Linked DNA regions of Cricetulus griseus. The protein of the gene in region 3 purifies or fractionates together with the protein of the main gene of each other region. This does not show direct contact. Links are inferred from orthologs where the notes say so. Each region holds a gene or a part of one and is shown on either strand. Other genes may lie near its edges. The genes, in order: heat shock protein HSP 90-beta, Cdc37 and Hck.

Region 1 (10,300 bases), on a different chromosome or scaffold from region 3:
GACCTGGGACGCTGCCATGTTTGCCCTCCACTTCCGGGCGCAGCTGCAGGGTCCGAAGGGGCCGCGCGGTGGCGGGCTCCGCGGCGTGACTCAGCACGGCCCTGTGAGGCTGGCCTGGCCGCCTCCTTTGGACGCCTTTCCCAACGTGGTTGGGGTTCTTGGGCGTGGGGGTCGTCCACGGGGTGGCAGGGACGCTTGAGCGCACTGCCATTTGCCTTTCCAGATCTTTCCTGCGCTCCGGGGAAGGAGGAGGAGGAACCCGGAGGGGGCTGGCACGGGAAGATCCATTGGTCCCTCCCCTACCCCTCCCCTACTCCTCCCCGCCCTGGAGCTCAGATTGTTCTGGAAGCTCCTGGTGCCCCGCCCCAGTGCCCGGATGCTGGGGCAGTGGGAGGGTTGCGGTGGCGCCCCCTCCCCGATGGCTGCCGCCGACGCGTGTCCGGCAGTGACGAGGGTCGCTGGAAGGCTCGGGCCACCATTTTACTTGTGTTCAGGGCTATGCAAGTCTGCGCAGTGAGAGAGGTCATGGTGGAGCTTTTACCTCTTTGTCCTGGTTTAATTGCTCCTTGAGTGCCTCCATGACTGCAGCCTCGGGTTCCCTGCTCCTGCTAGGATGGAGCGGCACATAGAAATGGCTGCTGTTTCTGTTAGTTTCTTTTTTGCCCAAATAAAGTTGTAAAGGGTTTCCTGTATATGTTCACCGGGTAGCTAACGAATTATCATTTCTTGAATTTTAACAAGGTATGTTGTCGGGTTGAGCCTGTTTGAGCTGTAGTATACCGTTTTGGCTGCGTTTGTTTGAAGAACCATCCATCCTTTGAGTTTTTTCCGTTTTCGGTTTACCAGCTTACTGTAGCTTTTCAAGGTCTTTTTAAAAATGGCGGTTCTCATCCCTTGGGAATGGATACTACTCAGCTTAAAGCATTTTGAATTGGAGTTTAAAGTGCATCCATCGTTTTAGTAATTAATGTGTAATGCTTTCTTAGATGCCTGAGGAGGTGCACCATGGCGAGGAAGAGGTGGAGACCTTTGCCTTCCAGGCAGAAATCGCCCAGCTCATGTCCTTGATCATAAATACTTTCTACTCAAACAAGGAGATTTTCCTTCGAGAATTGATCTCCAATGCTTCTGATGTGAGTATCACAGCTTCATAGAAGCCCAGTGAGGGATTGAGAGGAGTCTGCCGTGGGTTGAGAGCCAAGACAATGTTTGCAGAAATGGAATAATGTGGCTGTGTGTTTATTTACAGGCCTTGGACAAGATTCGCTATGAGAGCCTGACAGACCCTTCCAAATTGGACAGCGGCAAAGAGCTGAAGATTGACATCATCCCCAACCCTCAGGAGCGCACGCTGACTTTGGTGGACACGGGCATTGGCATGACCAAAGCTGATCTCATAAATAACTTGGGAACCATTGCTAAGTCTGGCACAAAGGCTTTCATGGAGGCTCTCCAGGTGTGTGGCCCTATATCCACAACATTCTCAATACTGCTTTTGACTTGTTAATTTTTCAGTACTTGTTTTCACTAGTGATATGGTAGGCTTTTAACCTATGGAGATCAGAGGATTACTGGCCAGTAGGTCCCAGGGATTGAACTACTTGATAGTTACACTTGAGTTCAGCAAGCACTTGTGCAGAACCATTTTACTTACCTCTTAACTTTTAAAATCCTTTGGCAGGCTGGTGCAGACATATCCATGATTGGGCAGTTTGGTGTTGGATTCTACTCTGCCTATCTCGTGGCAGAGAAAGTGGTTGTGATCACAAAGCACAATGATGACGAGCAGTATGCTTGGGAGTCCTCTGCTGGTGGATCCTTCACAGTGCGTGCAGACCATGGTAAGCTGCCTGTCCTCGTTTGGATGCTTGGTAGAATTCTCTGGAGGATAGAAAGTCCAAAGTCTTGATCATGCACTGTTTAATCTCAGCACTTTGGAGGCAGAGGCAGATGGATCTCTTGTTTTAGGACAGCCTGGGCTACATAGAAGCCCTGTGTCAAAATGGGGAGCAGGGGGTTGAGTATTTTGGTTGTAGTTTTTTTGTTTGTTTTTTTTTTCTTCATTGTGGTTTTTTGAGACAGGGTTTTTCCTGTGGCTTTGGAGGCTGTCCTGGAACTAGCTCTTGTAGACCAGGCTGGTCTTGAACTCAGAGATCCTCCTGCCAGGATTAAAGGCGTGCACCACCCCACCGCCCAGCTTAGTTGTAGTTTTCTATGTCTTGATTCTATCATTCACTTTTTTATAGGTGAGCCCATTGGCCGGGGTACCAAAGTCATCCTTCATCTCAAAGAAGACCAGACAGAGTACTTAGAGGAGAGGAGGGTCAAGGAAGTGGTGAAGAAACACTCGCAGTTCATAGGCTATCCCATCACCCTCTATGTGAGTATGGACTTGGCAGTATTTGAGCAGTCTTTGCTGGTGATAAGTTCTCCACAACTCATTATCCAATTTGGTAATTTAGTTGGAGAAGGAACGAGAGAAGGAGATCAGTGATGATGAGGCAGAAGAAGAGAAGGGTGAGAAAGAGGAAGAAGATAAGGATGATGAGGAAAAGCCAAAGATTGAAGATGTGGGATCAGATGAGGAAGATGACAGTGGCAAAGATAAGAAAAAGAAAACAAAGAAGATTAAGGAAAAATACATTGATCAGGAAGAGTTGAATAAGACTAAGCCCATTTGGACCAGAAACCCTGATGACATCACTCAAGAAGAATATGGTGAATTCTATAAGAGCCTCACCAATGATTGGGAGGACCACTTGGCAGTCAAGGTGAGAAACCTTACATGGTATGTTAATTGGAGGGGTACATAGAATGTGCTGGAGGTGGTACCAAGCAGCTTGTTCAACTGGACATCATGACTGTCTCTGGGAACTACTCAGGCCTTGCTTGGCAGTGGTTTAATTCACTTTTTTACCTTCTGGTGGTGGCCATGACTGCCATGGAGGGATACTTTTTGCTACTAGTATTCTAGGTTTACTTAGTATTTGAGCTAGTTTCTCATCGTAGGGTTTTTGGGGTGTGGCATTTCAGTGATAGATCTCTGATACTGGGACTTGAGGTGATGTTGTCCTGAAATGTACTACTGGGTTTTTCAGCACTTCTCTGTAGAGGGTCAGTTGGAATTCAGAGCATTGCTCTTCATTCCTCGGCGAGCTCCCTTTGACCTTTTTGAGAACAAGAAGAAGAAGAACAATATCAAACTGTACGTCCGTCGTGTGTTCATCATGGACAGCTGTGATGAGCTGATCCCCGAGTACCTCAGTGAGTATACCTTCAGCATACAGCTGAGACTATCTTTAACCCAGATAATTACAGTCCTTGGCTTCCCAAACCTTCACTTGGCTGGGTGACTTAAATCTGATAACCAGACCAGGTCTGACCCACCTCACCTGTTCCTTGGCTCTGGTTGATTGTAGACTTTATCCGTGGCGTGGTGGACTCTGAGGACCTGCCCCTGAACATCTCTCGAGAAATGCTCCAACAGAGCAAGATCCTGAAAGTTATCCGTAAAAACATTGTGAAGAAGTGCCTTGAGCTCTTCTCTGAGCTGGCTGAAGACAAAGAGAACTATAAGAAATTCTACGAGGCCTTCTCCAAGAACTTAAAGGTATAGTGAGCAAGTGATTTTTCTTCTGATGACTTTGTGTTGAAAGTATTTTTTTCAGCTCATATTTGGACTTTTCTTTCCTACCCTTAAAGCTTGGAATCCATGAAGATTCCACTAACCGTCGGCGTCTCTCTGAGCTGCTGCGCTATCATACCTCTCAGTCTGGAGATGAGATGACTTCCCTGTCAGAATATGTGTCCCGCATGAAGGAGACACAGAAGTCCATCTATTACATCACTGGTATGTTGGAGGGAGCTTGGGTCTGAGCACAAAGCTGCCTTGAAGGTGTGGGATTGGGGAAGACAGGACATGTTGCAGTTATAAAGGCCTTTGGTCACTGAGTCTTTAATCCTATAGGTGAGAGCAAAGAGCAGGTAGCCAACTCTGCCTTTGTGGAGCGTGTGCGGAAGCGAGGCTTTGAAGTGGTGTACATGACTGAGCCTATTGATGAGTACTGCGTGCAACAGCTCAAGGAGTTTGATGGAAAGAGTCTGGTCTCAGTGACTAAGGAAGGCCTGGAGCTGCCAGAAGATGAGGAAGAGAAGAAGAAAATGGAGGAGAGCAAGGCAAAATTTGAGAATCTCTGCAAGCTCATGAAGGAGATCTTGGATAAGAAGGTTGAGAAGGTAAGTTTGTTGGAAGTTTGTCCTCTAGAAATGTTATGCTGTTGTACAGTTAGTGTGGGGCCCTTCCCCCAGCAATACTGTATCTGTTGGTGAAGTAAGAACTTTTTTTCATATAACAGTGATTACACCATCTAAATCATACATGCAAGAAAAGGCCTTGTTGTGTGTTTCCCTGACCCTAACCCAGCATCCAGAGTAGCAGCTGAAGTTTTGTCATTCCACAAAGAACTTTTTATGTGGCTCCACATGGAGTGTGTGTCAGGACAGCCAAGGCTACATCTTGTGACTGACCATTTGGTTGTCCACAGGTGACCATCTCCAATAGGCTAGTGTCTTCACCCTGCTGCATTGTGACAAGCACCTATGGCTGGACAGCCAACATGGAGCGGATCATGAAGGCCCAGGCACTCAGAGACAACTCTACCATGGGCTACATGATGGCCAAAAAGCACCTAGAGATCAACCCTGACCACCCCATCGTGGAGACTCTGAGGCAGAAGGCTGAGGCAGATAAAAACGACAAAGCTGTCAAGGATCTGGTGGTGCTGCTGTTTGAGACTGCTCTGCTCTCCTCTGGTTTCTCACTTGAGGATCCCCAAACCCACTCCAACCGCATCTACCGCATGATCAAACTAGGCCTGGGTGAGTCAGCCTTGTGAGCCACATAGGTGGCAAGTTGTTGGACTGGCTGGATCCCCGCACAGACTTAGTACTACCATTTTGCTCAAGATTTATTTTTCTTTTTCTAGGTATCGATGAAGATGAGGTGACAGCAGAGGAGCCCAGTGCTGCTGTTCCTGATGAGATCCCCCCACTCGAGGGTGATGAGGATGCCTCCCGCATGGAAGAAGTAGATTAGAGATCCCCTGGGAAGACCATGTCCTCTGTATAGTTTCCCTGAGCCCCACCCCCCATGCCTTGGCTGGCCCCAACCTACCTGGCTCTCTGTTCAAGCTAGAGGATCTCTTTATCCTGTCCTTGTGCCTTAAGGCAGGAAAGTCCCCTCCCACAGAATAGCAGGGTTGGGTATTGTGTATTGTGGTTTTGTTTGTTTTATTTTGTTCTGAAATTAAAAGTATGTGAAAATAAAGAAAATGCAGTTTCATATAGTACTATTCTCCTTGTAAAGTACCACTCAGGATGGGAGGTAGTTCCCCTTTCAACCAACCAACACACGGCCAAGTCACTGCTGCAGTTTTAATCAAATAAGAGCAAAAGGTGACATTCCCAAGTAGCAAAACTTGAGCAAGGAACACAAAGGCCCCAAAGGGGCTGGGCAGGGCTTTGTTTGGCACAGCACCATTTTCACTAGTGTGCCCCCCTACCCCCCAACCACATTAGGACCTGTAAACTTTGTGCTGCTCTTGACCAGCTATGTCTGGCAGTCTTGCGGGTTGGGTGTTAAAGGAAAAACAAGCAAAGGCTAGGTGCTGGTTTACAGTTCTACCAGCTAAACCAAGGTCTCAGGTTGTGGGGAGGAGCTCTATCTGGATTATCTCCATAACTCAGACCCACAACTACCAAGTAAGTAGGTGGGGCTCTTAAGGCAAAAGAGGCTGCCTCCAGGGCTCCAATCCTCTGCTGTACACTGAGATGTTGAAAATAATTTTGCCCTTGAGTCAGCGCCTCTGATAAGCTACAGAAAACCAGAGTGAGGGTCCTTAGTCCTCATACCTTCTGCACTGGGGGCTCAGTTGGTACAACCTTCTTTCCCCGCTGCTTACGGCCCCGGGCATAGACTCTGAGTAGGAGGGCAGTGAAGACCACAGCCACTCCCAGTCCCCCCACCACAGTGACAGTGTGGCCATAGAGGAGGCAGGAGAGAAGGATGGCAATAGCCTGGCGGAGAGTCATGATGATGGTGAAGACAGCAGCTCCAAATTGTCCAATGGTATAGAAGATGAAGAGCTGGCCAAAGGCAGAGCAGATGGAGAGGAGGAGGGCATGAAGTGCAAACTCACTGTGCCGTCCCATAAAGCGGGCTCCCTCCAGGAGGGCCCCCTGCTCCAGTAGTGAGCCTACTGTGAAAAGACAGGAGAATAAATTGACCCCAAACATCATCTGCACTGATGACATCTTATAGGCAAACAGGGCATCCTGCCAGTTTGAGGTGAAGCTGTCAAAAGCAATGTAGCCTGCCAGTAGAATCAAGCCTGAGAGTGTGGTGGCTGGAGAGCTTCGGGGCTCTGGTCCACTAGACAGCAGAAACATGCTAACTCCAATGGAGATGAGGCCGGCAGTCAGGTATTCCCAGTGTTCATAGCTTCGTCTAGACACCAGCTTTCCCATCATCATGACAGGAATCACCTTGGAGGCCTTGGCCAGCACTTGGGTAGGGAAGCTGACAAATTTAAGCGCTTCGTATTGGCACCAGCTGCTAAGCACGTTAGACAGACTGGCAAAAGAGTACCGGTACATGGGTGCCCCATGACGGGGTTGTTTGCGTAGGACACAGTAGAGACCTGCCACGATCAGTGCCAGCACACGGTTCATTAGCACCAGGAACTGTGAGTCCATGAAGTGCTCGCCTGGTGATGTGGCGGTGGCCCCATAGCTGCCGGTCATCACTCTTTCCTGCAGTACACCCCAAGTCAGATAGGACACCTGGGAGGAGGAAGGGGGAAGAATGGTAATGGTAAACAAGAAAAGAAGGTGGAAGTCTCACTTTTCTCTCCTCCTTGGGATGATTGTATACGATGTAACAACACCATCCTTTCTGGTTCCTCTCTAGTAGAGGCTTCTTTCCTAAGATTTAATTCATCTTGTAGAGAATCACATGGAGTTGCAAACACAGTGACACCTGTTTTAGGATCACACCCTGTCCATCTTCTTAGCACAAGTTCATTAGAGCTGGCTCCATATACCATATAGTCTTATTTATTTTGAACCAATTCAAAATAAACTGGAATGTTTGGAAGCCTCAGAGAAGGCTGGCCACTTTCCCTTTGACATATATCTAAGTAGGTTGGCATCCACTCCAAACCATGGCCTGTGACAGCACCCTACTCACAAAGGCGGAATGGCTGCCTCAAGTTTTGTGTGTGTGTGGTCCTGGGGAATCGACTGTACTTGGTAGGCAACTACTCTACTAATGGGTTATATCCCTAGAGCCCCTCCCACAGTATTTTATTATTTTGAGACAGGGTCTTGCTATGCAGCTCTAGTTATACTAGAACTTGACATGTAAACCAAGATGATCTCCAACTCCAGAGATCCACCCACTCTGCCTCCTACATGCTGGGACAGACATACCTCAACACTTGGTTTATTTTATGTTTTAACAGAATCTCACACTAAATTGCTCAGGCAGGCCTTGGATTTTTTTCTTCTATTTTATTTTAGTTTTTATTTTTTGGCTTTTCAAGATAGGGTGTGTCTGTGTAGCTCTGGCTGTCCTGGGACTTGCTCTGGAGACCAGGCTGACCTCGAACTCAGAGAGATTCTCCAGCCTCCAGAGTGCTGGATTAAAGGCATGTGCCACCACTACCAGGCGCAGGCCTTGAATTTTCAATTCTTTTGCTTTAGTTTCCAAACAGGTGGGTTGACAGCTTGCGCCACCTTGCTTGGCTTTCCCAAAAATTTTGTAAGTGAGCTCATACATTAGACACAGTACACAGAGCAGTAAAAGAGCACAGAACAAAAATACAGAAAAGACAGGCCCTCTTCCACACTAGACATCATTACAGATTGTATGGTGAACTTTTGGGAAGGTGTTGAAGGAGGAAAGGATAAGAGGAAGAGAGTAGCATTTCCTTCAACACTTTCAGGGAGGGACTGTCCTCCAGGGACATAAACCATACCTAAATCAACAAACCTTTGGTATGGGCAGGACAACTTTGGCTTCCATTAAGTCCCTGGCTGTCTGTACCCAACCTGGGAAGAGAAGGGGAGCCTGTCTACTTACCTGGAGCCCCGAGGCACAGAAGATCAGCTTCAGGACCTGCCAAGAGGGACTACTGTCTGCTGTCTCTGTCCGGGGAGCCAGTGGAACCTCATCAGAGGCCTTGGGCTCATTGCCAAACACACAGGCCTTCACCAGGGGAAAGCAGAGACCCCTGCCTTTAGAAGACACACAAGGTCAAGCTCCACAACTTCTCTAGAGCAGCCAGCCCACACCCCCTCACCACCCCGTCTGACCCACTGGCTTCCCTCCCTTCCCAAGTAACGTTCAGCTTTGAGTATCTACCAACACCTGCAACCGTACCTCGCTCACGTCCCCACCCTTTGACCACATTACCTGTCTCCAGGTAGTTCTTCCGTCTTAAGTATTGCACCAGGAGGTAGCCAGGTACCATAAAACTGGCATAGCCAGCAACATTCAAGAAAAAGCGGAAGAACCACAGCTGTGTCCAGGACTGCGGAGGGGCTTCGGGGGACTCTCCACCTGCTCCCGAAGACGGGAGCGCGGCGAACACCACCACTGCCCACCACCTGCTGGGACAGCCAAAGCAGCGATTAGGGTTGCAGCTCTCCAGCCCTTTGCTGTCCGGAGGGGACTGTCCCAAGGAAGTACCCAGTGGCGTCCCCGCCCCCTCCGCCGCAGTCCAGCGGGACGGACAAAGAGCCTCTCTCTCTCCCTCTCTCTCTCTCTCGGGGGGTCCGATGCAGGCCAGGCAGAGCCTCCTCCCTGCCCGGGGGCGGCGCCGCCTGCCAGCCACATAGGTCGCCTCTGTTCCCTCCAGCGCGCGCGGGCAGCTCAGGCCACAGGCGCGTCCCCTCCCACTCCAGAGCGCCCGCCACAGCCCCGCAGCCCCTCCCGGAGACACTCCCGAAGCCCCCCGGGAACACAGGCCGCACGCTGCGCCCCCAATCCGCGCCGGCTCCTGACAGCGCCGCGCGGGTCTGCAGCGGGAAGACCCCACCCCGCCTCCCGAGCCCGGGGGTCTCGGTCACGTGGCCCCGGGGTCTCGGTCACGTGGGCCGTGGCTGCCCAAGCCCCCCCACCTGGCATCCATGGCCCAGCCGCGTGGGGCGGAGGGGGGACCGGGGCTTGCGAGTCCCCGGGCCGCACGCTCCCTCCGCTCCCTCCGCCGCCCGCTCCAGCAGCCAGCTAGCCAGCCTGCCAGCGGAAGTGCGCGCTCTTCCCGCCTCCTCCCGGCCTGAGCCCCTCCTCGGCGCCCCAACCACAGCGCCCCCGCGCGGCCCGGAGGCAGACCATCCCCGGTTCTCGCGGGGCACCCCAGTTGGGGCTCCCTCCCAATTCATGAGCCAGCTTGGTCACAGTCATCAACGCTTGCCTTTCCAGACACAGTGACGACTATTGCCACCTAGTGGACCGGACTTTTGAGTACCTGAGACCCAAGCACTTCCTAGTTTTCCCATTTTTTTTCTTTTTCTTGGTTTTTCCATTTCTAACTATGATGTCTCCTTCCTTTTTTGGCTGGGTCAGGGATCATCCCCCTAGTATCTGTGACCGTGACCTTCGAGACTCTGTATGACTTCGTGCATCCTCATTGTCCACTACTCACCGAACCCTGTAGAATCCTGCTGACCTGTTTTCAGTTCCTTTAACTTATGGAAGGCCTTCTTCCCCCAACGCTCTGCCCCTTTCTTTGCTCATCCTATATCACAACTTTCCTTTTTTCTTTTTCTCAAGACAGGATTTCTCTGTGTAGCCTTGGCTGTCCTGGAACTTGCTCTGTAGACCAGGCTGTCCTCAAACCACAGAGATCCGTGTGCCTCTGCCTCCTGAGCACTGGGATTAAAAGTGTGCACCACCACCAAGCTCTATGTCTCATTTTCTATGACACCCACCTGAAGCTTCCTTTGGCCACCCAGAGAATGATTCTCCACCTACTCCATTATCTTCCTTCCTGCTAGTTTTCCTCTTTCCAGCACCCATTGCAACTTATGACCATGTATTTAGTTGTTTATAATTTTAATAGCTGTCTCACTCACAGGATGCACTTGCTTAGAGTTTATAAATGCTAAGCATCAGAAACTATGTTGGTTTATTTCTTCTCGTTCTTCACGCCAGTCATGGGCCTGACCTAGCAGGGCCCTCAGTGTGTGGAATCTAAGGGGGAAAAAAAGTAGAGTTGCAGTTTTCTTGTGCTCAACGTCC
Region 2 (11,344 bases), on a different chromosome or scaffold from region 3:
CCCCTCCGTCCACCAGGTCCTGTGTTCAGTTGGATCTCTACAGGACCCCTTAGTAACTGTCCAAAACCATTCCTTTGGTCTTTGTTATTCGTTTGTTTGTTTCAGAGATCTTCTCACTACTTGGCCCACACTGGCCTGTAAATCTAGTCCTTTCGTTATGACCTCCAGAGTACAGGCACTGGGCATGCACCATTGTGCCTGGCTCCTTCCTCACTTTTTTTTCTACTTTATTTTTCTCCACTTTTTCAAGTGGAGAACACTGGTCTTTGGTGGTGCACACCTTTAAATCCCAGAGGCAGAGGCAGGTGGTGGATCTCTGTGACAGCCAAGGCTACACAAAGAAACCTTGTCTCAAAAAAAAAAAAAAAAAAAAAAAAAGGAAGAAAGAAAGAAATTGCATTTCTTTATTTATGTGGGGAAGGGAAAGATGGCTATGTGTAAACACTTTGCCATCAGTGTACACGTGGAGCTCAAAGACAGGAGTCAGTTCTCTCTCCACCATGTGGTCCTGGAGACAGAACTCAGATCTTCAAACTTGATAGCAAGCCCCTTTACTCACTAAGCCATCTGGTTGACCCCTTCCTCACTTTTTTTTTTAAATTTATTATGTATACAGTGTTCTGCATGCCATGTATCCCTGCAGGCCAGAGGGCACCAGATCTCATTACAGATGGTTGTGAGCCACCATGTGGTTGCTGGGAATTGAATGCAGTCCCCTGGAAGAGCAACCAGTGCTCTTACCTGCTGAACCATCTCTCCAGCCCCCCTTCCTCATTTTTATAAAAATGATGTTCAACTCCTAGGTAAGAGAGCAAGGCAGGATGGCTAGCACCTATCATCTCAGCAGCTGGGGGTTAAAGGCAGGAGGATCAGGGGTCTAAGGCCAGCCTGGGCTGTGTGAAACCCTGTCTCAAAAAGAAAAAAAAGGGGGGGGGGGAAGAGTGACTAATTAGTTCATGACAGCACTCTTTCCTGTTGCCCAATTATCTGAATATAGGCTGAATTTTAGTTTCCTTCACTTAGGATTCTTTTTCAGGGTCTCACTGTGTGTTCCTGGCTGTCCTGGAACTCATCCTGTAGCTAAGGCTTACTTGGAATTCACAACAATCACTCTGCCTCTGCCTCTGTCTCCAGTGTGCTGGGATTAAAGGTGAGAGTTACCATTCCAGGACAGACTTTTGTTTTCTGAGACAGGATCTCTTGAAACCTAGACAGTCTTCAAACCCCTTGTAGCCACTGTCAGCCTTGATCCACCTTCCTGCCTCTACCTGCCAAGTGCTTCAAGGTCAGGCATTCAACACCTCCATTCCTGGCAGAATTTCCATCGTGACGGTAAGTTTACATGCAAAGACTTATTTATATGTGGATCTTGCTCCCTGGACAACTAGGAGCAGGGAACTGTAAGTGTCTCCCCTTTGCTGCAACACCAGCCAACACCAACGTGGCTGACATTTACAGTATGGAGTTGGAGAATAGGAATGAAACAACACGGAATAAAGGCATGTTGGTCTCCTGGCTTGCCTTAGTCTCTGCCTGTAGTTACTGCTGTAAGCAGATGAAGACAGAGGCTCAGAAATGGAACCGCGGGGATATCTGGGATCTGGATGCAGTTAAGTGGTGTTGGCAACACCCCAGCCTCAGCCCCGCCCCGGAGCAGTCTCAATTCCCCCTCCCCTGCACTCTACAGAAGCAAGATACACTACTGTAGGGTTCTCTGGGGGAAGGTGGGCTACCAGGGATGCAAGATAGAGAAACAGCTGTAAGTACTTGGGGCCTGGGTGCCTCTCCCTGTCCCCAGGGGCTAGACACAGCTGGTAAAAGATTAGGAAATGCTTGGTGATGATGGGGATTCCCGGAGCCCTAATCCCAGCTCTCTGCCATTAGGCAGCCTAGAGGGGAATATCTCCTCACCTACCAGAAAATTCTCAACAGCCAGGGTTACACACACACACACACACACACACAGAGTGAGTGAGTGAGTGGTGGGGTGGAGACCCTACAAGAACGTACCAAGCCAAGGGTGGGAGAGCTGGGGGAACCCCATGATCTTAAGGCCCTGCCTCCCAGGAGTCGGGTTCCCTTCCCAACACAGCTCGCAACCCCCAAATTTACCTTGCTGGGAAAGGGGGCTGGAGAGAGGAGCCACTCCCTCTCTGGCCTGGGGTCGGGACAGCGGAAGGGGACAAGTGTCCAGACCCTTTGTTTGGTGGTGTGTGTGGGTGTGTACAGGGAGCCCCTCCGGGTAAGGTCCGTCGTGCGCGTGCCCGGGCTGGGGTTGACCGAGGCTGGTGAGGTGGACTGCCAAGCTGGGGGAGGAGGGGAAGGGAACAGAGACCCCTTGCTCTGCCCGCCCACCCTCGGGTGAGCGAGAAGGGGAGGGTCCATGGCGGGAAGGAGCTTTTATGCCCACCACCCCCACCCCCAATTTGCAGACCTTTATTCGCTCCAGACAGCCCTTTCTCCAACAGCTTCCGAAAAGCTGGGAAGAGGAACCCGCCCCAAGCCAAATGGATAGAACTCCTCTTTCCCCCTGACCCCACCGCAAGACGCATCCCTTAAACTGAGATAATCCTGGCCTCAGGCTGCAGCTCCAGTTTCTAGATCCTCTATCAAAGCTTGGGGAGGTATGTACCACCTGGGTATCTCAAGCTCAGAAAAAAATGGATTCCCCCAAGCCCCAGCCGAAATTCAGGGGCTCAGGTGAGCTGGAAGAGGCTGTGGGCAGCCCCAGATGGCTGGGGAAGCCTCTCTAGAGCCTTCTAATTTCCCCTGGGCACAGGGCTGGGAACGCTGGGGTTGTTTAGACATCAGCGACACCCAGAGGCTGTGCAAGGAGGCACTTGAGATGGGGGATTCTGGATGATTCCAGAAGGCTGCAGGCGCTGAGGATCCTGCCTACCAGTGGTGCGAGATGAAAGTCCCCGGACAGGGTCAATTATCATCCTTTCTGATCCCCAAGCCTGGGCAGGGCTGTAACGTTGGCCACTTACCAACCCTCGGACTGCAAAAGTTCTTTCAAACCCACCGCAGGGTTAAGTCAAGGGGCAGGTCTTCAAGCCTTAGCCTTCGGGCGGGCGTTCCAGCGGTAAAGACACTTGCCACCAAGCCTGAAGACACGAGTTTCAGCCCTAGGATCGTCCTTATGGAAAAAGACAAATGAGTTACAAAAGTTGATTTCTGGCTTCAACATGCGCATTCTAGCACTCGCTGCCTGCCCCATAAATAAACCAGTGTAATATTGGTTTATTTATTTTGAGATAAATTCAGTCTACATAGCCCTGGCTGTTCTGGTACTCACTAGGTAGACTAGGTTATCTTCAAACTCACAGAGATCTGTCTGCCTCTGCCTCCTGAATGCTAGGATTAAAGGCGTGAGCCACTACTGCCTGGCCAATAAATACAAATATAATATTTTAATATAATATATATTTAATATATATTATAATAAATATAATATATAATATTATATATATTTTTTAAGTACTGGAGCTGAGATGTTTGCCGCAAAACCTGGATGACCAAAGTTTGATCCCAGGACCCATAGGTAAAAGGAGACAACCAATTACAGCAAATTATGATTGTCACATGTGCAGCCTGGTATACACACACACACACACACACACACACACACTTTTTTTTTTTTTTTTTTAAAGGACTGGGGTCAGAGAGAGAGCTCAGTTGATAAAGGCGCTTGCCACTAAATTTGATACGGGGGACCCACGTGGTGGAAAAAGAGAACTAACTCCAGCAAGTTGTCCTGATATTCACATGTACACACACACACACACACACACACACACACACACACACACACACAATTAATTTCATAAAACTGATTATTCAAAAAAATGGCCGGGCGTTGGTGGCGCACCCCTTTAATCCCAGCACTCAGGAAGGCAGAGGCAGGCAGATCTCTGTGAGTTCAAGACCAGCCTGGTCTACAAGAGCTAGTTCCAGGACAGCCTCCAAAGCCACAGAGAAACCCTGTCTCAAAAAACCAAAAAATAAAATAAAACATCTGGAGCTGGAGTTACAGACAGTTATGGACTGCTATGTGGGTGTTGGAAATTGAACCTGTGTCATCTGGAACAGCAGCCAATGCTCTTAACTGCTAAGCCATCTCTTCAGCCCCTGAAATGTAATTTAAAAAAATAAATTTTAAGGGCAGACCCAGTGTAGTGGAGCATGATTTCAATACCAGCATTGGGAGGCAGAAGCAAGGAGATCTGTGAGTTCAAGGCCAGCTCAGTCTACATAGTGAGTTCGAGGACAGCCAGGGCTACATAGTGAGACCCTGTCTTGAAAAAAAAAATTTTTTTTAAGAGTAAAAATCGGGGCTGGAGAGATGGCTCAGAGGTTAAGAACACTAACTACTCTTCCAGAGGTCCTGAGTTCAATTCCCAGCAACCACATGGTGGCTCACAACCATCTGTAATGAGATCTGGTGCTCTCTTCTGCTGTGCAGGCATACAAGCAGGCAGAATGTTGTAAACACAATAAGTAAGTAAATAAATCTTAAGAAAAGTAAAAATCTGTCGGGCACTGGTGGTGCTCGCCTTTAATCCCAGTACTGGTGGGGGCAGAGGCAGGTGGATCTCAACTCATTCCAGGCCAGCCTGGACTACAGAGCTAGTTACAGAACAGCCAGAGCTGTTGCAGCTGTTGAAACCCTGTCTCAACTCCCACCCCACCCCTAAAAAAAACCGCAAAATTTCACTCTTTTCTGTTTGTTTTGTTTTTCAATACAGGGTTTCTCTGTGTAACAGTCCTGGCACTCGATTTATAGACCTGCCTCTGCCTCCTGAGTGTTGGGATATAAGGCGTTTCTTTTTGGTTTTTCGAGACAGAGTTTCTCTGTGGCTTTGGAGCCTGTCCTGGCACTCGCTCTTGTAGACCAGGCTGGCCTCAAACTCACAGAGATCCGCCTGCTTCTGTCTCCCGAGTGCTGGGATTAAAGGCGTGCGCCACCAACGCCCGGCTCAATTTTGATTTTTTTGAGACAGAATCTCACTGCGGAGCCCTGGCTGGCCTGGAACTGTGTCGATCAGGCCTGCCTAGAACTCGCTGAGAGTGGCCTGACTTTGCTTTCCAAGTGCTGGGACTACCGTGGGCCGACAACCCCTAGGCAACTACCTTTTTTGTCCCCAGGGGATGCTCGGTTGGGTTTCGGCGGGAACTCCCAGAAGGCTGAACAACGTGAGCCTGGCCCTTTAAGAATCACCTCCGGTCGTCAGTGCCGCCGAGTCCCGTTGCTAAGGACGTGACGTCACGCGCGGATGCTGGGGCGGGGCCGTCGTGCGCGGCGCCGTGAGCGGAAGCGGAAGGGGCGGGGCTCCGCGAGCGGACTCTCTATCCCTTGTGGGTCCCTGTTCAGCGCCCGGCCGTGTGGAGCGCCGGGAGCCAATCCGGGCCTCCTAGGCGAAGATGGTGGACTACAGCGTTTGGGATCACATCGAGGTGTCGGACGATGAGGACGAGACGCACCCCAACATCGACACGGCCAGCCTCTTCCGCTGGCGGCACCAGGTGGGGCTGTGCGCGCGCATCCCCTTCCCCCCACTCCCGGGACCCCCCGCTCTAGAGTTCTGACCTCTTACCCTGGCCGCCCTGGTTCGGGCGGGTCGGGGGAAACTCAGTTATTGACATCGGGAGCCTCCTATTCCACAATCTGAACTTTCTGTCTCTCTTATTTTTTAAAAAAAATCGAACCAGGATCTCACTATAGCCTTGCCTGGCCTGGAACTTGCTATGTAGACCAGGCTGGCCACTAACTCACAGAGATCCGCCTGCCTCTGCCTTCCCAGTGCTGGGATTAAAGGTGTATACCGTCATGTGGCCTGGACTGTTAAATTCCATCCCAGGACTTCAGGATCACTGGGCTTCCTAACTCTCCACGGTCATCTCTGGGCTTTCCCCGCTGCTATCTCTTTTATTTTATTTGTACATTTGTTTGTTAGTTTACTTGTAGTGGTGTGTCTTGTGTGCTCGTGGCACAGCTTGTATCTGTAGATTAAAGGACAGTTAACAGAAGTCAGGCCTCTCCTTTCACCACGTTGGAACTGGGCATGGAACTTAGGTCACCCCAATTTGCCACAAGCACCTCCTATACACACTGAATCTTCTTATCAACTCCTAATACTTTCATCAGAGTCTAGACTCTCCAAACGCCGGCCCTTGTGAGTAGGGGTCCCCATCATCCTGTATGGAACCTTTTTTTCTCCTCAGAATTCTTTCTCGGAGTCCAGAACTCAGATTCTGTTAGGCTCTCCCTTGTTCTAGCCATGTGCCCACTGCTGATTGAACACCTCCCTTCTGCCTCTTCTCAGCCCCTGGAGTCTGGGTCCACGATACTTTTGATTTGATTGGGGCATCTACTTCCCAGGATCTTAAGCACAAATTTACATTAAGGCCCAGAGATACCCTGCCCCCAACTCCCAAACTGAATGAGAACTGTGTCTTACACTTAATTTCCCGATCTTAGCTTTCCGCTGGGATTCCACAACCCAGGGTCCCTTTCCCTGGAGTACAGACCAGAATCCCACTGGGGACTTCAGTCCCACCTAGGACTTCTCTCCATGTGGCCTCCAGCTCCACTGCTGCCCTGTGGCTTCCCTTACTCTTGCCTCCTGTAGACGCTTTTCCCCTTATTCCAGGAAACCCTACCCACTTAACTTCCGTCCAGAACCTCTGCCTGCTCCTTTATAGTAAGTAGACCCCCATCCTGTCCCTGGCTCCTGTATGAACTTTGGCCATCATTGAATACTCACCAAAATAGGAGCCGGGCAGTGGTGGTACACGCCTTTAATCCCAGCACTAGGGAGGCACAGGCAGGCCTGTGAGTTCCAGGTCAGCCTTGTTTACAGAGAGAATTCCAGGACAGCCAGGACTACACAGAGAAACCCTGACTTGAAAAACAAACAAACAAAAAACAGAAAGAAAGAAACTCACCAAACCTGAGCTCAGAACCCCAAACCTATTCTATCCTTCCCACCCTTTCCCCTGCAGCCTCCTTGGCTTCTCTGCAGTGTTCAAATCATCCTACTTAACTGGGGGAATCTCCTGGATCTTATCCCAACATCACCTTACTTCCTGAGCATGATGCCACATACCTTTAAACTCAGGTCTTGGGAGGTAGAAGTAGGAGGATGAGAAATTCAGTCAATCCTTGCTACATGTTAAATTCTAGGCCAGCTTGAACTACATGAAACACTGTCTCAAAAACCAAATAGGCTGGTGCTCAGTTGTGTGTCATTGCCTTGCACTGTGTCTCCAGCAGTGCTTAAAAGCTAGCCATGGTGGGACAGGCCTGTAGTCCCAGCACTGTGGAGATGGGAACAGGAAAGTCAGAAGTTCAAAGCCTTCAGCCACATAGTAAGCTTGAGGCTGGCATGGACCACATGGGATCCTGTCAACACCCAAGCAAATAAAATAAAATCCTACACATTTTTTTACATCTGTCCAGAACAGAGTCCCCCAGATTCAGACCTTAGAATCCCGTGTGTTTGAGCCATGGTTTTCCACCCCTCTTCTGCCCGGCATTGACCACGGGACAGTAGTGTACTACCAAGATCTAAGGGTGGTCTGGAGATGTGGTTTAGTGATAGAGCTCTTGTGTGGCATGCAGGAGGTCCTGGGCTCCATCCATAGCACAACAGTAAAGAGACAAGGGTCTAACCTGCTCTCCCAAATCACAGCATCTATATCCACCTACCTGTGTGCTATACCCTGTGCTTAAATTGTATTTTATTCATTTGTGTATACACTCCTGTATGTGTAAATGTACATGTGTAGTCCACGGAGGATAACTTGGTGGAATCTGTTTTCTCCTGCCATGTGGGTTCTGGGGATCAAACTCAGGTTTTCAGGCTTGGTGGCAGACCTTTACCCACCGAGCCCTCTCATTGGACCCTGAGTTTGTTATACTCTCAAGCTTAGGGCAGGTACTTTCTGGTTAGGAATTTTGCACCCCATCTTCCTGAGGGCAGCTCCTGCTCATTTATCTGGAAGCTCCTAGAAGGTCCTCCCTGTCTCCCCCAAATTAGTGTCTGTCCTCCACCCAATTCACACACCCATTCCTTCCAGTTTCCTAGGATGACTGCCTGCCAGGCAAGCTGCCAGCACTGAAGACCCCCTTGTGGTTGGTGAACTCTTCTCAGGAATAGTTTTATGAAGAGGTTCATCTTCCTACTTTGTGGAAAACAGTTGGGGCCTGCTGGGTGGGAGGAAGGCCTCCCCTCTACTAGTACAGAGCCTGCTTCCTGTCTTGCTGCTGTGGCTGTAATACTGAGGAGGGAAGTGGGGCCTTCTGCCCCAGCATGTGGGAGGATAGGCAGGCTCTGGTGGACATTCCAACCTTGCCTCTTGTGCATCCATCTGTGATTGGGCTGGACTCATAAGCTCTGAACAGAGAGGCCTGATTGATAGGTCACATTCCCTGATGTGCTATGGCTTGCAGGGCTCTGGTTGGCTGCTCTGTGCCTCAGTCTTCCTGAGAATGAGTAGGATCTCTGTGACCCATAGGGTTGGTACAAGTTTCCTGATATTTAATAACTGATTCCCTTGGGGTAATACTTCCTGTCAGTGCTTTATAAGTGTGCCTGTGGTTTCCAAACAAATTCAAAGCCAGATGCCATAGTGCATGGCTGTCATTCAAGGCTATCCTTGGCCACATAGCAAATGGAGGCCAGCCTGAGCTACTTGAGCCCCTGTCTAGAAATAAACAGCAAGGGCCCTATAAGGTAGCTCAGCTGGTAAAGGCACTGGTCACCAAGCCTGATGACCGAAGTTTAATCCCTGTTATTCACATGACAGAGAAAACTGACACAAGTTGTTCTGTGACCTCCACACCTCACACACACACACACTGTGGCACAAATCCCAATTTGGCCCAGTGTGCAGGCCTATTTTTCCAGCTACTGGGGAAGCTGAGGCAGGAGATCACAAATTCAGAGCCATTCTCAACAATGTAGAGTGAGGTCAGGGCCAGCTTAGACACTATAGTGAGGCCAGGGCCAGCCTAGACAGTGTAGGTGAGGTCAGGGCCAGCCTAGACAGTGTAGGTGAGGTCAGGGCCAGCCTAGACAGTGTAGGTGAGGTCAGGGCCAGCCTAGACAGTGTAGGTGAGGTCAGGGTGGCCTCAGTAATGTAAGGAGACACCGTGCAGCTCAGTAGCAGGCCACTTGTGGAGCAGATGTGGGGCACTAAGCTCAGTCCCCTATCTCCTAGGCTCTGTGGCCAGACATGTGCTATGTGGGATTTCTTCTGGCTCCTTCCAATGTCAAAATTCTGAGAACCTCAGGGTCCCTTCTGTAAGGAACCCCTACACCGTCCTGTTACTTGTGCCTGGGTCAGCCTGCTGCTGCCCCTTCCATGTGAAAGGTGTAAGCCAGGCCGGGCAGGTGGCCACTATCTATCTTCAGCACCATGCCCCCCCCCCTTTCTTTTGTTAGCTTCAGCCTTCCTGGCAGCTGCTCAGATGGTGGCCATCCTCCAGAATGCCAGCAGCCTGTCAACTTCCTGTCGCTGTCTGGGGCCAGCAAGGTGCTGACCTTAGAGCCCTTGGGAGAACATGACACAGGCCAGGGCTGCCATAGAAGGGGACTTTTGTTGTCATGTGTGCACATGAGTGTGGATTCATATGCAGAGGACAGAGAAGAATGTCGGGTCCTGCTTCATCTCTCTCTGCCCTGTTCCCTTGACAGGTCTCACTGAACCTGGAGCTAGGCTGGGGCCAATAAGCCCCAGCCTTCCTCCTGTCTGATCCCTACAGTGCTGGGGTTGCAGGCAGCACAATTCTTTGTTGAATACTGGGGATATGAACTCGGCTTATCCTTGCACAGTGCTCTTCCCTGGGAGCTATCTCACTGTAGTCACCTATACAGTCTCCAACCTCCTATGGTCCTTACTTTAGTGCTTTGGGTGTGTCTGTATTTTCTTGTCTGTGTATGTTTTGTTTTGTTTTTTTCTGGACAGGGTTTCTCTGTGGGATGGTCCTGGCTGTCCTGAAAGTCACTCTATAGACCAGACTGGCCTCAAACTCACTGAGATCCTCCTGCCTCTGCCTCTGCCTCCTGAGTGCTGCCCGGCTCTCTGTGTTTCTGTCTCTCTTTCTGTGTGTCTGAAAGTGAAAAGCCAGCCATGGTGCCGCACACCTGTCACTCTAGCCCTAGGGACAAAGAAGCAGGAGTCTTACCACAGATTCAAGGTCACATAGAAACACTCTCAAAACAAAATAAATTAAGCTGGGTTATAGTGGCACACGCCTTTAATCCCAGCACTCCGGAGGCTATGCAGAGAAAACCTGTCTCTCAAAACGTTAATAAAATGGCTGGGGATGTGTACTTGACCCTAAGTTCAGCCTCTAGTACTGCACTCACACACATCTATATAGCCACACTTTTTTGGGTTTTTTTTTTTTTTTTTTTTTTGCTTTTTCGAGACAGGGTTTCTCTGTATAGCTTTGGAGCCTATCCTGACACTAGCTCCGGAGACCAGGCTGGCCTCAAACTCACATAGATCCGCCTGCCTCTGCCTCCCGAGTGCTGGAATTAAAGGTGTGAGCCACCAATGCCCGACTATATCCACAATTTTTTTTTTAGACTTTATTTATTTATTGTGTATACATTATTCTGCTTCTATGTATATCTGCACACCAGAAGAGGGCACCAGATCTCATAATGGATGGTTGTGAGCCACCATGTGGTTGCTAGGAATTGAACTCAGGACCTCTGGAAGAACAGTCAGTGTTCTTAACCTCTGAGCCATCTCTCCAGCCCATATCCACACTTTTATGACAACTTTGTAATGGGTTGGGTTGGGTTGGGTTGGGTTGGGCTCGGTTGTGCACACCTTTAATCTCAGCAGGTGGCAAAGGCAGGTGTATCTTTTGAGTTTAAGGCCATCCTGGTCTACAGAGTGAGTTCCAGGACAGTCAGGGCTATACAGAGAAACCCTGTCTCAAAAAACCTAAATAAATAAATGGCTTTCTACGGGTCAAATTCTTGGTAAGTGAAGAATCTTTGGCGCATTTAATCTGTTTATCTGTTTAATGTGAGTGTGTGTGTGTGTGTGACTGTATGCATGCATGTGAGTGTGGTGTGTGTGAGTGTGTGTGTGACTGTGTGCATGCATGTGAGTGTGGTGTGTGTGAGTGTGTGTGTGTGTGTGTGTGTGTGTGTGTGTGTGTGTGTGTGTCTAGGAATATGCACTAGTGCTATGTGGGGAAGTCAGAGAACAACTTGGGAATCCCTGCTCTTTCCACCATGTGAGTCTCAGGGCTGGAACTTGGATCATCAGACTTGGCAGCAAGCATTTTTACTCTCTGAACCATCTCACTGGCCCTAAA
Region 3 (10,571 bases):
GCCTTGCTGGGCAAGGGTCAAAGGCCGCAGCAAGAGCTACTGTTAGGGCCGAGGATATAGCTGGGTCAGTAGAGAGCTTGCCTAGCACAGGCTTGATACCCAGCCCCACATAAACCAGATGCAGTGGTACACATCTGTAATCTGAACATTTGAGAGGTAGAGGCAGGAGGACCAGATGTTCAAAGTTATCCTTGGTTATTTAGTGAATTCTAGGTTAGCCTGGCTGCATGAGATTGTTTCAAAACATGGAGCCACACTCTCCCTGTTTCACAGCTGAGGAAAACAAACAAGGCCAGAGATATTCTGGTCTTGGTATACCCAAAAGCAGAGGTCAATTCTGAGTCTAGGGTGAACAGGATGCTACCTGGGGACCTGGTTTTGTGACCTCAGTTCTCCTCTGCTTCTCACTCTCCCTGTCCAAGGGGAAATTGCAATCACAAATGTGGATTTCAAGTTTGGTATCTGGTTTTAGCCCCAATTTTATATAATAGATTTTTAAAATGTCTTAAGAGACTATTCCTGGACTGGAGGGATGGCCCAGCAGTTAAGAACACTGGCTGCCTTTCCAGAGAACCCAGGTTCAATTCTCAGCACCCACATGACAGCTCACAACTGTCTGTAACTCCAGTTCCAGGGGATCCTACACTGTCACACAGACATGCATGCAGGCAATTCACCAGTACACATAAAATAAGAATAAATATATTTTAAAGAGAGAAAGAGAGCTATTCCTATTGAAGTTGACAGAGAGTTGCCTTATTTGTGACCTTTCTCATATCTGACCACTCCTAGACAACCTGAGAATAAGTCCTGGGCTAGAGGCTGGGGATGTGGCTCAGGGTAGAGCCCTTGGCCGGTATACAGGTCCTGGGTTTAATTTCCAGCAGGATACACACACATACACAAAAGAATCTGTTAACCAGTTCTTCTGGGACTCCCTGATGTTCTCGGAAGCAGATCCAAGTTCTCCTACCTGACTTCATGGAAATCTGCCTGGTGGTTTTCAAATCTCGTTGGCTCATCACCATCAATTCACCTATCCTTACATAGTTGACAAACATTTGAGAAGCAACGTTCTACAAGTGTAGTGACTTATAGTGTGTTTGTGTTGGTCCTAGCTCTCCCAGTAAGGCTCTGAGCAAGACACTTGGCCACTCTGTTGGCATTACTAGCCACCTCTGTAAGTGCCTACTATATGGAAGACTGTACTTATCTGTGGTACAAGCTTCAGGGCTAATCTCCCTATGAACCCTAGGAGACAGGCTTGAGGTCACAGCTTGGGGATCATGATGAGCTGGTCCAACTCTGGAGCCTTTAGCCATGATGCTCAATTATTTCCCAAGCACAGTTAGTATTCCTGCCCCATTGAGCTCACATGAGAACCAGTGGCGTATATGTGTCAGCCAATGGGAGAGCAGTAGGCACAGAGGGTGAGTGAACTCAGCAAAGCCATAGCTCACAGCCCTGGTTCTGGAACTTTCATGCTATGCAGCTATGCATTGGTTATTTACTTCTCTGGGCTTTCATTTTCTCTCCTGTGGAAAGGGTTAGCAAAACTATCTCCCCAAGCCTATAGGGGGAAAAACAAAAAAACAAAAAAACAAACAAAAAACTGTTTATCAGTTTATAACAAATAAGCTGCAGTATCATCCTAATAACTTTTGCTGTTCTTTTAAAGATACCCTATAAATTTTCCACACTCTTCAGGTCAAAGCCAGTCTCACTCCACTACAACCTCTGTTTCAGACAAAAATCAGTCTTGAGATTGCATTCAGAAAGTTGGGTCTGTTTCCAGTGCCTTTGACGCCCTCTGCTGTTCATTGTTTGCAAGTGCGCTACCTGGTCACTTCAGGCTTTGCAGTTTACGGGCCAGCCCTGCTTTGGTCTGTCTGATCAGACTCTGCCACCCCGGGATTCCCTAGGATAATCTCATCTGATAATTCAGTCTTTGCTCTCTAGAGTCAGCTTGGTTTGAAGCTGATATTCAGGACAAGTATCTCTGTAAAGTGGATCGTGATGATTCTACCTTCACATAGCTCCAAGATAGTTTTATAAATTGTATGTGCTGCTTTCTAGACGACCAAGATTCATCTTCCACCTCTTTTGTCCTAACCTTTATAAGCAAGAAAATCTCCAAGTCACAGCCATGTATCTTTCTACCAGAAGCTTCCAGAATAAGAATTCTTCACACTGCCCTCATGCCATGGGCTGGCCAGCCCGGCTGCCATCCCAGCTGAGATCTAGCTCTTCCAGTCGGTCCTCCCCAACATCTACTCCATCTACGAGCTGCTAGAGCATGTGGGAGGGCTGGTGCTGCAGACCCAGGTCCAGGATCATGCCATAACCGTCAAAGATGAAAACCTAAAGCATGGCTCTGATCGGAGATGGCAGCAGCCTGATACAGGACCATGGAGCAGCTCCAAGGAGCCTGAGAAACCCATGGAGGCTCACAGGGGAGATGCGTCAGTGCGGGAGGAGTCTGAAGAGCCTTGGTATCTGTGGAACAACTTTTTAAAAGGCAGATCCTGTGGGAAGATGTTTTTAAAGAGTGGGCTCACCAAATCGGAAGATGGCAGAGCAGAACCGCGTATGGAGAATGAGGAAACTAAAATGCAGAGATGAAGGGTATGGGAGCAATGGGGGACAGTGCCACTGGGGCTGCCACCGCTGCTTACCCTCGTGGGCTAGGAGTGTGTGTTGGTGCGCAGTACTGCCTGCGGGCTGCAGGCACAATGATTGTGCCCGGTGAGCCTCGGACCTGCCAGCATCGAGAGCAGAGAGGTGTGCGGTGGACTGGAGCTCTCTCAGATCCTGCCCCTGGATGCCTGCCTAGCCACAAGATCACCCTGACTCTAGGCAACAGCCAGATATCCAAAACGAGTCTCAGTGATGGTTCAATATTTATGATGCTTCAGAAACCAGAAACCTTGAACCAAACTAATGACCCATTGCAACGAATATTTGAATGTAAAGCTGCGCGCGCGCGTGTGTGTGTATGTGTGTGTGTGAGAGAGAGAGAGAGAGAGAGACAGAGAGAGAGAGAGAGGGAGAGGGAGAGGGAGAGAGAGAGAGAGAGAGAGAGAGAGAGGGGGAGGAGAGAGAGGGAGAGAGAGGAGAGAGAGAGAGGAGAGAGAGAGAGAGAGAGAGAAGAGAGAGAGAGAGAGAGAGAGAGAGAGGGAGGGAGAGCTGTGTGACACACTGCGGGTTTTCAATGCTACTTCAACAAACAAATATGAGACGGATAGGTGGGAAAGGAGGAGGAACAATGCGGCATGTGCAGGATGGAGAGAGGCGGAAACAGAGATGTAACATTGGTGGCATGTGGGAGGAGGCTGCAGTGGACATGGGACAGAGGAGCATGTCATTGCTGAGTAGGACTGGCAGGGTGGTGTGCAGCAGCCTGGAGCTTATGCAGACTCTTTCCAGAACACACTGCCCAACGGCACTATCGTCCTGGCTCTGATAAGATGTCCAAGATTAAGAACAGCTCATTCTCTGCTTTTGGGCCACCTGGAAAGACCCCCATCATCCATGCTGCCCCTGGAGGCCTTGTCAGTATCTGTGGTCCATGCTAACAGCTGGAGGACATGCTGGTATCCGTGGTCTGTGTAGCTAGCCACTCTATCCATGTTGATGCCCACAGTCTTGTTGATGTCTGTGGTTTGTGCCGCCACTGGAGGCCATGTTGATATCTGTGGTCCTGCTACCACCAAAAGCCATGTGGATGTCTGTGGTCTGTTCTGCCACTGAGGGCCATGAGGGTGTCCATGGTCCATGCTCCAGCTGAGGGCTATGTTGATGTCTGTGATCTGTGTTACCACAGAAGGACAAGTGGATACACTTGGTCTTGGTTGCCACTTGAAGCCATGTTGATGTCTGTGGGCCATGCTGCAGCTGAGAGCTGTGCTGCTACTGGAGGACATATTGAGGTCTGTGGTCTATGTTACCAACAAAGACCATGTAGATGACTGTGGCCTATGCTGTCACCTGAAGTCGTGTTGATGTCCATGGTCTGTACTGCCACTGGAGACAATATAGATGTCTGCGGTTCATGCTATCGCCAGAAATCATGCAGAAGTCTGTGTTGTCACTGACTGTAAAAAGCAAGGCAGCCGGGCATTGGTGGCACCTGCCTTTAATCCCAGCACTCAGGAGGCAGAGGCAGGCAGATCTCTGTGAGTTGGAGGCCAGCCTGGTCTCCAGAGCGAGTGCCAGGATAGGCTCCAAAGCTACACAGAGAAACCCTGTCCCAAAACAACAACAACAACAACAACAACAACAAACAACAACAACAAAAAAGAAGAAGCAAGGAAGCTACTTTTGTAGTAGTATTGATGACTGCAAACTCACAGTTGAGAAAGAGGGACATAGAAGGCTTCTCTGATTACCTCCCCCCATCCCCACCCTACCCTCCCTGCAAAAAGAAACAGTCTAGACAGGAAGTCATTGATAGGAACTCTTAAAAACTGTGACAGGAATGCTAAAGTGTAGCTCTTCCCAGTTGATGCCTTCTGGCAGGGGTGAGGGTGAGGAAGGACTCAGTTTTCTTTAAGGGGCTGGCCTGGGAGTTTGATCATGCTACAGTGAGTATATAGGCAACCCAAGATGGACTTGTGGGGTTTTTTCCCTTTTCTTTTTTTCTGGGAGGAGGTCACAGGGTGGGGTGGACCTGAGAGAACTGGGGAAGTGAGTGTAATCAGGTGCGTTATGTGAAATCCCCAAATAATCAATAAAAATGTTATGTTAGAAAAAAGAATTCTCTTGAGTTCTTTACTAGAGTTTAGTATGTGACGATGACACTGTCTCTTCCGGGTGCAGATTTCGGAGGGCATGGCCTTCATTGAGCAGAGGAACTACATCCACCGAGACCTCCGGGCTGCCAACATCTTGGTCTCCGCATCCCTGGTGTGTAAGATTGCTGACTTTGGCCTGGCACGGATCATCGAGGACAATGAGTACACAGCCCGGGAAGGTAGGGGACGCTGCCCTCCTGCAAGGGCTGGGAGATCTGAGCGTGGACACCTGTCAGAGAGACTGGAAACAGCTAAGGTCTGTCCTAGACTAACTCTTGCATCAAGTTTGACAGGGTCCTTGTGCACAGTGCCTTCGCTGACAAAATACCCAACAAAGGCTACTTAAGGAAGGCTTTATTTAATTTGGCTTATAGAGAGGACAGCCTATCATGGTGGGTCAGTAAAAGCATACAACTGGTCACATTGTGTCCACAGTCAGGAAACAGACAGGCAGATGCTGGTGTTCAGCTTGCTTTTTCGTTTTTATGTGCTGCACAGCCAGTGGGATGGAGCCGCCCACATTCAGGATGGGTCTTCCACCTCAACTAACCCTATTCGGGAAGTCCCTCACAGACATGCCCAGGGGGCCTTCTCCTGGGTGATTTTAGATCCTGTCAGGATGACAATGTTAATGTCACACACACAAGACTTGAAGAGGAACATTTCAGACCAGACTGACATGACAACTTCGGCAAGTACAGGTAGCAGTGAGGGGTGAGAGTAACTTTATGCACAGGAGACAAAAACAGAGCAATCTAAGTGTCCACAGACAGGGTGTGCATATCAACTGTATCATACAGGGGCTGGAGATGGCACTCAGTGGTGGAGGCTAGACTAACACAGAAGGCTATAGGTGTAATCCCCGTCACACTACATCAATGCCACCTGCAACTAAAGGGGAGATATGACATCCAAATGAAAGAGGCAAATCTAAACAGAGCAGATACCAGGAGGTTCCACAGATAGGCAAAAGTGAAGCCCCAGACTGAAATACCCTAACTGATGCCCATTAGCTGATGAACACATGAAGAAAATGTGGAGTATCCATAGCACAGAATTATGCTTGTGATAAAATGGAACGGAGTGTTGAAAGGCATGCGATGTGGCATACACTGGTCTTGGAAACATGCTAAGGGGAAGCCAGGCACAGATACAGATATCTGTTACCCTTGGTATGAACTTCCCAAGTGAGACAAAGACAACTGTGGTTGCCTAGGGCTGGGGGGTGGGGGGACTTGGGAGAAAGGGGTTCTGAGTGCTAGGGATGGGACTGGATGACATGTAATGAAAAAGTCTAAAATTCACAACTCTTCCACTATTATAAAAGTCACTGGAGTACACACTTTAAATGTGTGGATTTTATGCCCTGTAAATTATATCTCATTAAAGCTGTAAAATTCACTTATACATACAAAGCTGTGAACAGGGGCTAGCTAGAGTGGGGAGATACTGCCCAGGAGGAGCTGGAAAGAGCCTTCTGAAAGCCTTCTGCAAATGTTCTCTGCCTTAATCTGATTATCACAGGGGCTACTCAGCTTTGACCATCAAGTTAGACCTTAAATATCTGTACACTTTAGCCTAGTCTAGAGGTATAAGCTTGTAACCCCAGCTACTCTGGAGACTGAGATCACAAGTCCAAGGCCTGCCAGGACAAGTTAATGGTCCTGTCCTGTCTCAAAATAAAAAGTAAAGGGGCTGTAGTTCTGTGGCAGAGCACATGGCTAGCATGTACATTGTGCTAAACTCAATCTCAAGTAACACACACACACACACACACACACACACACACACACACACACACACCATTTGATTTCTGTCATGATTGGATAAAGTTTAAATTAAGTACAAAAATATAAAACGAAAAGTTGGCTATATAATCTAAGTCTGTAGAGAATAAGCGAGATATGAAGAAAACTCTAGATATAAAAGATGGCAGCTGAAGATGTTGCTTGATAATAGAGTGCCCGCCAAGCATGTTCAAGGTTCTGAGTTCACGTCTTAGTACCACATAAAACAAAAGTATGCAATAAAGAAAATGGCTGGCTTAGAGTTAAGGATGTAGATCCCAGCACTCAGGGATCTACATGAGTTGGAGCCAACCTGTAACGTGTAAACGCTGTCTCTCGAAAAGAAAGGAGGGGCTGGAGAGATGGCTCAGTGATGGAGAGCTCTTGGTGCTTTTGCAGAGAACCTGGGCTAAGTTCCTAGCACCTACATGATGACTTACAACCATCTATAACCCCAGTTCCGTGAAACACTTATCTAAATTGTTCATTATTAATAACTTAGGAGTCAGATGTTGGGGTAAAAACCTGATAGATCAAGAAAGCAGAGAAGAATGACCAGCTAACCCTGTCTCCACACTTCCCAGATCAAAAAAAAGGGGGGGGGGGCATGGAAATCTTTCTAAGCCCCTCCTTATTCCTTTCTGTGTCTCTCTATCATATTCTGGGTCCTCCAAAATCTCTATGGCTAATTCCAGTCAGTTAGTCATTGACTCCACCCTCTGATTCAAGGCCAACTTTAAATAGTCTCAGAGTGTCACAGTGAAATCAAATATCCTGCAACATTCCCCCCTTTTTGTCTAAATAAAAAGTAAAGATTTTTTATTCTAACACAGTAAAATTATATACAATAAGAAAATTTACCAGGTATTATCTTTAAAAAAGGAAAAGTTTTAACTCTAACATAGCAAAACTATATACAATAAGAACAATTATCAGGGGGGCTGGAGAGAAGGCTCAGAGGTTAAGAGCACCGGCTGCTCTTCCAGAGGTCCTGAGTTCAATTCCCAGCAACCACATGGTGGCTCACTACCATCCGTTATGAGATCTGGTGCCCTCTTCTGGTGTGCAGATATACATGGAAGCAAAATGTTGTATACATAATAAGTAAATAAAATCTTTTTTAAAAAGAACAATTATCAGGTAAGAATTACATTTACAATATCCATTTGTATTTAGCAAATTCAGAGAAATTACTCTGTTATCTATCCTATTTTGCTGAATCCTAAGTTTTATACCTAAACCACTTTCTGTCATAACTTCTATTACCATCCTAAAAATATCCTTTTAGACCTTAAAACGTTTTCTTAGATAAACAACTTAAACTTTTATGTCTCTCAACCTTATAAACCTTACATCTCTTTTCTAAGTTTCTTTTCTGAATTTGGTAACAAAGAAAATGTTATATCTAGTCTTCAACCCCTCAGAGACCCAAGAAGGGTGTAATATTACCCAAGTAAGCAGGAAGTACAAAGCAAACAACTTCCAAAACCATAGAAATGCAGAGACATCTGGCTGTCTGGACAGTCACCCCAGGTTCCTCTGCAACACTGGGTGTGCATCTTTGTACAGGCCTAGAATATCTGACAGACATTTCTGTGAAGCAGGAATTTTGAAAGACTGCTCTACTTTGTCTTGGCAAAGTTTGGCAGTTGTCTTCCTTTGTGTCCTGCTTGTCCAATTTGGACAGCATACTATCAGCAGTTGAGGCAAGGGCAATTTCTTGCCCAATGGCTAACTTTGCCAAAAATGAAAGCAAATTCCATATGGAGGTTCTTCGATGCCCATTATCTTCTCTGAAGTGATTGGTGCTGCCAGAAGCAGACGTATCACACTGTCATGAAAATCCTTATGTTATCAAAACATCTTAAATGCCGTATTCTGTAGATCTCTGAAGTGTATGAAGACCATCTATTTATCTAAAATATAGCTCTGACCTTGAAAACATACCTAACATGACTGCAAGTTTATCTTAAATGGTTTATAATAATAGCTTTCAAGGACTAGAACTTTACATTTTAAAATGAGCTGCATAGGCAAAATACCTTAAACAAGGGTGTAAACATATACACAGTATGTTAAAACAAAAATAACCTTAAATTTGTATCAATATACAAAACTCCCTTAAATGATAGTAGAAACATATATACAGTATGTTCTAACAAAAGTAACTTTAAATTTGAATCAATATACAAAAATCCATACCAATGTAAAATATTTGAGATTAATTGTTGCTTTTTAGTTTAAAAGTAGATTCAATAATCTACCCTTTTATCCTATCATTCTTATATCCTCCCTTTTTCATCTTTTCAAAAAGAGATCCCTGAATCTGACCGCCTTTGCTTAGTTTCCTCTCTGGCCATGACCAATAACAACTTGCAACTAACCCCTCCCTAAATGATGATAAATATCCATAACCCTCCAAACAACCAAAAAACACCCCCACCTCTTGGGAATATGGATGTCATGTTCTTTTGGGGGGGGCAGTTTCGAGATAGAGTTTCTCTGTGGCTTTGGAGGGTGTCCTAGAACTAGCTCTTGTAGACCAGGCTGGTCTCGAACTCACAGAGATGCGCCTGCCTCTGCCTCCCAAGTGTTGGGATAAAAAGCGTGTGCCACCACCACCCAGCTGGGTGTCATGTTCTGTTTTTTTAAGATTTATTTATCTATTATGATTTAGTATGTGTACAGTGTTCTATCTGCACGTTGCCTTCAGGCCAGAAGAGGGCACCAGATCTCATTACAGTCGGTTGTGAGCCACCATGTGGTTGCTGAGAATTGAACTCAGGACCTATGAAGAACAAGCAGTGCTCTTAACCACTGAGCCATCTCTCCAGCCCGGGTGTCATGTAAAATTGTTTCCTGTTTTCTGGTGGCAAAGACATCTTTAGGGGACCCTGGGAAAAATGAGATAATGGCCAAGTCCTGGGAGAGCTAGCTATTGTCCAGTCTTGGTGTGATGGGAAAGGTCAGTGCTTACTTGAAGTCCTGGCTGGAGTAGTCTAGGAGACTGGACCATCTTAACTGTCTGATTTGAAGCTGTCCTGAGCAGTTTGTAGTCCAAAGCTGATCTTTGGGTTGTGTTTGTCAGCTTAGTGGCATTATCACAATCTCGGGGGATTCATCACTGCAGGGCCCCCATCATCTTCTCAGAGACCTCAAAGGTCTCCAAGGAATGGTCATGGTTCCCTGCAGAAAGTGTAAACATTTTAAAAATCATATGTAGCAGATTGCCAAGAGGTTAGAGGACCACAGTCTGTTAAATACATCCAGGGTACACAAACTTAGTTCCTAGTTATCTGCTTCAGACTCAAGCCCAAAATCACATACAGGAAGCTAGATAAAGCTTATTTCCAGAATTAGTTAATACTCTGTATAACCATTAATATCATGACAAAGTTTAAATATATATGTATATATCCTTATAAAATTTAAAATAATATTTATAAATTAAGAGTATTAAAAGAAAGTATTCAAGAGTCAAATGGAAACCAAAGGATGATAACATTAATGGCAATAGAATCGTCCCATACATTTTGTTTTCTTCTGTCCCATACGAGGTTGCTCTTCTGACATGAGACAGGGATTTTGCATTTTCCTTTAACAAACATCTGTGGGCTTAGAGAAGGAGAAAGAGAACCACACTCCAACTCCAAAGCCAGCTTTAATTTTTAATTGAATTGGAACCACAAAAAGGCCATTTGCCTCATATGTCTGTAGAGAAGTTGCAAAGATTGGGAACACTAATTCAAATTAGCGTCATGTGACAGAGCCATGAGGGTGGAAAGTGGCATGGGGGGAAGGCCTTAGTCACTGGTGTTGGCAGTGACACTGGCTCTTTCCACAGGCAGGAGCCAGCCCTAAGAGGAGGCATTAGAGTTGACACGGCAGTTTGGACTGCAGCAAGAGTCTGTGGCTAAGCGTCCTCAGATCCCTCCCTGGGTCCTGGTTAAGTCGCTTTCTTCCCCTGATGCTGCTGCTTTCGTGATGAAGC

Evidence for each region.
Region 1: the proteins of Hck (region 3) and heat shock protein HSP 90-beta purify together in Homo sapiens (affinity purification with mass spectrometry; 3 studies listed by BioGRID and IntAct, with this or other methods). This does not show direct contact. The link is inferred for Cricetulus griseus from reciprocal best matches to the Homo sapiens genes HCK and HSP90AB1.
Region 2: the proteins of Hck (region 3) and Cdc37 purify together in Homo sapiens (affinity purification with mass spectrometry; 3 studies listed by BioGRID and IntAct, with this or other methods). This does not show direct contact. The link is inferred for Cricetulus griseus from reciprocal best matches to the Homo sapiens genes HCK and CDC37.

The regions. Positions count from the first base shown.
Region 1 is NW_023276807.1:31,880,803-31,891,102, reverse strand, and holds the end of heat shock protein HSP 90-beta, read left to right. Parts: intron 1-986; coding exon 987-1,133; intron 1,134-1,249; coding exon 1,250-1,456; intron 1,457-1,681; coding exon 1,682-1,841; intron 1,842-2,246; coding exon 2,247-2,380; intron 2,381-2,462; coding exon 2,463-2,771; intron 2,772-3,098; coding exon 3,099-3,264; intron 3,265-3,419; coding exon 3,420-3,610; intron 3,611-3,702; coding exon 3,703-3,850; intron 3,851-3,967; coding exon 3,968-4,236; intron 4,237-4,544; coding exon 4,545-4,878; intron 4,879-4,985; coding exon 4,986-5,095; 3' UTR 5,096-5,341; downstream 5,342-10,300. Other genes in the region: Slc35b2 (adenosine 3'-phospho 5'-phosphosulfate transporter 1), read right to left, coding at 5,905-6,840, 8,141-8,295, 8,474-8,670, 9,181-9,191. UniProt on the Homo sapiens protein: Molecular chaperone that promotes the maturation, structural maintenance and proper regulation of specific target proteins involved for instance in cell cycle control and signal transduction. Undergoes a functional cycle linked to its ATPase activity.
Region 2 is NC_048597.1:134,003,786-134,015,129, reverse strand, and holds the start of Cdc37 (hsp90 co-chaperone Cdc37), read left to right. Parts: upstream 1-5,312; 5' UTR 5,313-5,424; coding exon 5,425-5,526; intron 5,527-11,344. UniProt on the Homo sapiens protein: Co-chaperone that binds to numerous kinases and promotes their interaction with the Hsp90 complex, resulting in stabilization and promotion of their activity. Inhibits HSP90AA1 ATPase activity.
Region 3 is NC_048599.1:26,865,097-26,875,667, reverse strand, and holds part of Hck (tyrosine-protein kinase HCK), read left to right. Parts: intron 1-4,818; coding exon 4,819-4,972; intron 4,973-10,571. UniProt on the Homo sapiens protein: Non-receptor tyrosine-protein kinase found in hematopoietic cells that transmits signals from cell surface receptors and plays an important role in the regulation of innate immune responses, including neutrophil, monocyte, macrophage and mast cell functions, phagocytosis, cell survival and proliferation, cell adhesion and migration.